Drosophila melanogaster: one gene and its partner. The protein of the gene in region 1 interacts with the protein of each later gene in a pairwise test. Each region holds a gene or a part of one and is shown on either strand. Other genes may lie near its edges.

Region 1 (3,760 bases):
CGCTTGCGCTTTCCTCAAGGTTGTAAGAATTATACCATGAGCTTCTGATTGGGCTTGAGATTTCCGCTGAAGCTTAGTATTCGCTTGTTCTTGTGATTGGGATTGAGCATCCAATTGAGCTTGCGTCGGAGATTGGTCTAAAGCGGTATCTTGATCTCGATCCTCTGGTTGAAGTTGTGGTGGTTGAAAGATTGGAGTTCCTTGTGCTTGAGTCTGAGATTGATATTGAACATGAGCTTCTTCTAGAGCCTGATCGAGAGTCTGAGCTTGCGCTTGAGCTTGAGCCTTGTCTTGATCGTTAGTCTGTGACAGAAGTTGTTTTATTATTTCACTTTGGGCTTGATGAAGTGATTGATCTACGGGGTCTTCCTTTGCTTGATCGTCTGGTTCGACCAGCGATTGTTGCGTCGTTTGAGACAGTGATATTCCTTGTGATTGAGCCTGAGATTGATATTGAACATGCGCATCTTCCAGAGCCTGATCGAGAACTTGAGCTTGCATTTGAGCTTGAGCCTTTAATTGACCGTTAGTCTGCGACTTAACTTGGTTTAGTACTTCAGATTGCGCTTGATGAAGTGATTGGTCTATGGGATCTTCTTGTGCTTGATCCTCTGCTTGAACTAGCGATTGTTGTGGTGATAGAGGCGGTGCACCCCCTTTTTCCAGAGCCTGCGATTGATCTTGCGATTGTGCTTGATCTTGGGACTGTTCTTGACCCTCTAACTGCAATTGTGACCGCTCTTGAGCCTGTGATTCAGCTTGGTCCTGATTCTCTGCTACATCTCCCGATTGCTGTGATGATCGATTTTCAGCGTTTGCCGATTCTGGATTAATAGCCTCATCTTGGGATTGAGCTTGATCCTGCGATTGGGATTGCCCTTGTATCTCCTTTTCCAGTCCTTGTCTTTGATTCTGAATTTGAGATTCCGTTTGCGCCAGACCTTGTCTAAGAACTTCAGCTTCATCTTCAATCTGTGATTGAGCCTGGTCTTGCTTTTGATCTCCCTCTTCATTTGGTGGTACTAAAGCTATTTTTCCCGACAGTCCTCCTGGTGCTTCAGCTTCTTCACTTTCTGGATCATCGGCGTTTCTTTGTGATGAAGTTTGAATATGCGGATAAGGTTTTTCTCGTAATTTAGCTCCATCTTGATTCAGTGATTGTTGAATCTGGGTCTGTTGCTGCGATTGAGCCAGTCCTAGTTGTTGCGATTGGAATTGTTTTTGGACTTTAGTTCTGGCTATATTCGCGTATTGGATTTGTTGCTGTGATTGACCTAGACCTTGAGCCTGCGATTGTGATTGAGATTGCTTTTGGATTTGAAGCTTCGCTTCTTCAAGCCCTCGGCTAAACGATTGGGCCTGTCCTTCAGATTCAACTGAGGGCTTATAGCTTGAATTACTTTCCAAGACTATTGGTTGAGGTTTAAACACGAATCCGTAATCTTTTACAATGGATTCTCTTTGCAAGCGCACCTTTTGCTCATCTTCTGTTGAATCTGCATCGCCATTGATGTCCAATATGCTCTCAACCGCAGGAAGGATCGGGGGGCTTATAATATTGTTCAATTGATTGTTTATATCAATAATTCCCTCGCTGGGTTCCACTCGAAATATCGCCAAGAGCGCAACGAATGCGTAAAGGAATCCTAACTGCATTCTGAAACTACTTTTAGCAGCGAATCGGAAAGGAGCCTTTTATAGGCTCGCAAATGAAATGCCATGAAATTGATAACACATGGATTAAAGCGATTTTAAATGGATTATCTCTCGATGTTACATCACAAGTGGCAAATGAGTTGGGACAGCAAGATTGATGGGCTTCTTGAAAATACATTTTATTGTTACAATTCCAGGATTTGGTATTGAATAAGTGTTTTTTTTTTTGCCTTAGCTTCCCAGTTACAAACACAAGATATAGATCAAGTGTGTGGTTTGCGGATTTTTCATTTAATCGAACTTAAATAACTAATTATGTTAAGTAGAAGCTTAAGGATACACTTGATTTTTTTATTACCATCTAAAATCAAAAATAGTGAAACTGTAATTTAAAGAAGAACAATGGAGAATTTAAGGCGCTTCGGTTTGGGTAAAGTTACTGAACTTTTGACAATCTAATTGCACAAGTGCACGAGGCGCAACCGTTATTATCCTTGGTCCTTGTTTCGTCCTTGTTCCGGTGGCGTTGGCAAATTCACGCCACTCGCTTGTTTGCGCAAATTTGATTATCAAAATACCCAAGGAGAGTGCAGCCGTGGTCGGAAAAGTCGGGAAAGAAGTCGCGAAAGGAAGAAGGATAATGCCATGTCGCCGCATTAGCGCCTCTGGTGGGTCGGGTTGGGCGTGGTCGTTGTCCCGTGAAACAAGCTCGAAATTGAGTTTGCCTAGTGTCCTTGCGCCCCTTTAATACCACCCCCTCCTGTCCACCACCACTAGCCCTTTTGCCTGCTGGGCTGATTAAAGCTCCATGCCAACTTGCGGTGATTTGCTTTTTTTTTCTGGCACCATCATTTGGATGCAGTGGCGCCCTGCACAAATGGGGCATTAAGCCCTCCGATGTCGGGACCTGACATATATTAAATTTCATCTCGCCGTCAGTCGGATTCGGATGCGGAATCGGGCGCCTAATGAAGGTTAAGCAACTTTTAATGTCCCGGCCCGGGCCATTTTGCAGACCATTAAATGTTTCGCCTGGCAATATGCCATATGTTTCCAGCATGGACATAAGCCCCATGTCCGGAAAATGTTCGCTACGTTCTGCAAAAACTTTACTTATCATTTCAACGCCAAAAGCCATAAAGACGCTCGCTAAGTCTGCGTGTGTTTGTGATGACACGACGATGACAGTAATCGTAATCCTAGTCATGGTAATGATGACACTGGGGCGCTCAGCCCACAGTCATGCCATATAAGCATATGGCGGTTGGGTTCCAGGAATCAGGCTGGGCAGAGACACTTAACGGTCATGTGGAGGGCTAACGAGCGATTTCACCCTTTATGGCCAGCATTTGGATGCCATCGGTTATCGGATTCCGTCACGAGTATTTTCAATTAGTAATGTGGACTGTGGAAATCGGTTTCACTGGCGTATCGCATTGATATGATTGCTCTTTGTGTTATTAGTTAATTGTTCTGGTTGTTCAATGTATTTCCTTTGGGCTTCCCACACATGTAGTTTCACTCACCGCCAGTGTCACGCCCGATGGACACCTTCCGGAATCCCAGTCAATCGCAATTGGTGTGACTTTCGACTGCCTCAGTTGCTCCTGAACTCCTGAGTTCAATCTTCAATCGTTACCCCTTTGCACTCGAGCAGAACGCGACGCAGTCTTAAGTGGTATGAAGATTGTAACATTCGAACCTTGGTGCACTTGAACAAGTAAGATGGTTGAAATTTAACACTTTTTTTTACTTTTAGGTAAGAGATATAACTATTAGTAGATTTCCATTTTATAATTAATACCACTAGAGCTAATCTCTGGGGATTTAAAAATTACATTCTAAACAGTTTCATCCAGGAAAGCATGTTCTGAATTGATGCTTGTGAGATTTTCTTTTTCTGAGTGTATTTTTTGCCTGGTTATGTGAGCGTTTTCCATGTTCACACAAGTACAGCCCCCCCCCCCCTTTGCCGGCGGCACACCCCTCAGTAATTTCATGCTCCATTGGCCAACGAAATCGCCACACAATCAAAGGAAAAGCTTCGCCCTTTTCGTCAAGACATGAAGTTATACAACCATCGAGGTGAATGCTAAGAATTTGG
Region 2 (3,760 bases), on another chromosome or scaffold:
CAACAACGAGCGAAATTGAGCGTGAAAACAGAGGAAACGCGAGGATAGATATTGTATAAAAACATGCGTATTTAACAGCGGCTGACCTTGTTTTCATTTGCGCCTAACAAGCTACGGAAAGTGAAAGACTTTGATTGGAATTCTCATAAGAATGTGAAACAGGTTTCGCTCTCATAACGGTATCTGCATACACATACACACACACACACACAGATGAGCCGTAATAGCCAGGCAAAAACAAGAAAAAGCCGGAAAAAGAAAGTAAAAAGGCAGAAAATGTTTAGTTTATATTTCTAGAGCGAGAAAGAGAGAGAGAGAGATATGGGGACGTAGAGAGCGACTGTTAAGTAATACATTTGCAGAGAAAGCGCGCGCAAAAGACACAAGAAAAAAAAACACATTTGCATGTATTGTGTGCTACTTATTGATGGCGTTATTTTCTGGTGTTTTTCGCACAATTGCCGCAGTTTCTGAACGCTGCTTTTGACATTGGAAGAGTTCAAGCGGCTTTTTTTTTACGAATTCGATTTAAACTCATTTTCGATCTGCGAAGGTCAACAGCAAAACAAAATGAAGCCGACTGCACGCACACCAAGGCAATATTTACACAGATACATTCACCACAGTTGTATGTTGCTTGTGTTGCTCCTTAAATATGTTACATATTTAACATATATGATATGTTGTGACAATCAAATAGTACTTGCAATCTTTACCTTGGTTGAGCCGCTCGATTTTACAACTGTTATTTATCACACTTTATTTTCAGTTTAAAATGCACTTTTTCGCTTCCTTTTCACTTTTGATTGCTACTGACATCAACTTGACGTTCTGCTAGTGACTGTATGTTAGCTCCTAACAGCTTCGGCAATTTATCGATTAGTGCTGTTAACGCTACAGCTACCTAACAGAATTAAAGAAATATATTAAATTTAACAAAAATACTGAATACAGCTAGCTGGTCATACTCCTGTTTTACATTTTATTTAATTTACGAATACGTTTAATTTAAATTTTGTTGATATATAATTTAATAAATTTTTTGGTCTCAAAACGTCTTAGCTAACCCCACACAAAACCACTTCGAGATTATTCTGAGGTTCTACGAAAAAAAACTTGTTATATATACAGAGATATATGTATTTTAAAACCAAATAAAAATGAACCTGTATATAATAATACCATAAGATAGCTACTTACTCTACGAGCTGTGAGCCTTGAGTGCCGGTGCTCATATAACTTTCTTAAGCTTGCTTGATATAATTTTCATATTGCATATCTAAAAAAAAATAAAAAAATAATTATAAAATTTTTGTAAAAAGTTCAGTAAAAACAGTTTAATTCACTTATTACCTGGTATTTCCTTCTCTGCAAATATAAACGAATTTTAGATATTTTCAAATTTGTTTGAGTTGGTGTGTTCTGTTTATTATGAAAACATGGATACATTTTTAACAAGTGCTCAAAATATTATTTTATTTACTAAATATATCAATATATAAAATAAATTGTATTTTCTATTAGAAGACTAGTAATAAAAATGACAAAGTTATAATAATACCATTGGAAATAATTACCAAATTGCAATTTTTGAAATTGCAAAGTGTGACTGCACGAATACTTGTTGAATATCAACTGCATGAATTAAATTTCGCTTTCCGAATCAACGAAACATCAAATTTGGTCAAACATGAGCAAAACATGTCATATAATATTAACAATATATTCTTTAAGAAATTTAACAATTTTAAATAAATTATGAGTGACCCTGTGTTGTGTAAAATATGTGGTATTTATTCAGTATTTTTGGGTTTTTTTTTCTGTTTTTCGGCAGCACTGCGCGGCGGTCACGCCTTTGTATTGTATTTATATTCATTCGTTAAGCGACGGTCGTCCAAAAAGGCAGAAAATGTGGAAATTCATTGATGAACAGTGGTGAAAAGTGCGTGCAGTCATTCGCTTCAATTTGTCGTGGCCGATTCCTTTTCGCAACCAATTTTTCTTATTTTTTTTCTTGTCAGTAACAAGTTGTCGGTCAATAAAAGTGTCAGTTTATTTTCTGCATAATAACGGTTACTAAAGCCTAAATTTTTTGTTTGTGACTTCTTTTTTTTTAAACAAATGCGCCGACGCGCCAGAAGTTTATATTCTGTTTTTATGTTTTCCGCTTAAAACGAAACGTGACTAGTTTGTTTTAAATTGGTGTGCAACGAAAACAAGAAGAAGCGGATGAAGAGGGTGGAGAGGAGAGGAAGCAGAAGAAAAAGAGCAACAGTCAAGTGAATTAGTTTTTTTTTCGTCCATGCCGTCGCTGCCAACGTCGACGCCGTTGCGCCGCCGCATTTAGTCATTGCATCAGTGTGTCCGAGTGTGTGTGTGGCAGAGAGAGCGAGTGGGAGAGCAAGGGTGGAGTAAAAGTAAATGCGTGCAATTAGCATTTAATGCAATCACCATTAACCGCCTACTATTGTAATTTATATTACCCTAGTACCTGTAATTTACACATACACCTACACACACACCTGCTCAGCTAGTGGTAGTGCAAATATGAAGTGCAAAAAGCGGCGGCAACAACAATTGTCTGTTAATTGCTGGATATTTCGTAATGCAGCAACAATAACAACGGTAGCAAACTGTAATGCCACAGTGAAGACTCGCTAATCGAAACTTTGTCGGGCATATTAACCAAATTCGTTATATGTTTGCATTGAATTTACATTTCATATATTAACTTCTAAATCTCGTTAGATTTACATGCTCGCGTGTTCAATAGCAGGGAGGGCCCACTGTACTTGTAGTGAAGCGCCGTTACAGCCACAAATGCGTGTGAGTGTGATTATGTATGCATGTGTGTCTGCATCAAATCACACACTTGCAGCGCTCATGCACACGCACTTGTACTTGTGCGTGGCTCACATTTCCATAGCCAGCCGCTTCCCCCTCCACGATCAGTGTTGCTCTTCACCTGCAGCTTTCGCTTCTGCTTCTTCTTCTCCCGCACGCATGTGCCGTTACAAATTCGCTTGGACATAAATCATTTTTCGTGCATTAGCCGGCGATTGTTAATGGAAATCGTATTAGAAAACAACAATTACAATGGGCCCACATCTGCCGCTCTCGCTCTCGATCGCGCTCATCATTGCTCTCCCGTTTCCCGTTACAGAGAGTGCAATACAAGTGCAATATTAATTAAGTAATAGAGGAAACGTAATATGCGTGTGCAATACAAACAAATGACCATGTAACGGCCAACAGAAATGTATATGCAATACAAACGTACATACATGTGTAAAACAATAAGCGCAAAACACCGCCCATCCCCGCTTGAAAAGTAAAACCAGCAATCTGCGAAACCTTCGACCATCATTGGGTTTTACTGTACTTGAAAATGGACTGTGCCACGCGAAAACAACAACAATTACGGGCACATCATCAGCAGCAACAAATACAAATACAAACACATGGACGAAAGCGGCAGCAATTACAAAAACAACGCCACAACCACCACCACTACTACCAAAATTCACAACAACAACAAAAACATTTCGTGTGGCTTGTTGTTGGCATTTTGACAATTTTTTTGGCTCAGGTGAGTGAGAAAAAAAAATGAAGGAAAAGAAACAACAACAAAACATAGTGATAAAGATAAAGCGACAGGTAAACCCGCAAAGTTAGTTACCTCTATGATTTGGGGGAAATTCGTTGGGAAAATTCTGAGGACTCCTAATGGATGGCGCAGGGTTGTCAAAAATATTCATAT

Evidence for each region. Proteins that work in one complex are often made in the same cells at the same time.
Region 2: the proteins of CG31872 (region 1) and Ptp4E interact in a two-hybrid assay, tested with the Drosophila melanogaster proteins (one large-scale study listed by BioGRID).

The regions. Positions count from the first base shown.
Region 1 is NT_033779.5:10,637,842-10,641,601, reverse strand, and holds the start of CG31872 (uncharacterized protein), read right to left. Parts: upstream 1,672-3,760; 5' UTR 1,657-1,671; coding exon 1-1,656.
Region 2 is NC_004354.4:4,937,259-4,941,018, forward strand, and holds the start of Ptp4E (protein tyrosine phosphatase 4E), read left to right. Parts: upstream 1-1,869; 5' UTR 1,870-1,942; exon of another isoform or gene 1,943-2,046; intron 2,047-2,178; exon of another isoform or gene 2,179-2,274; intron 2,275-2,322; exon of another isoform or gene 2,323-2,417; intron 2,418-3,163; 5' UTR 3,164-3,388; coding exon 3,389-3,589; intron 3,590-3,760.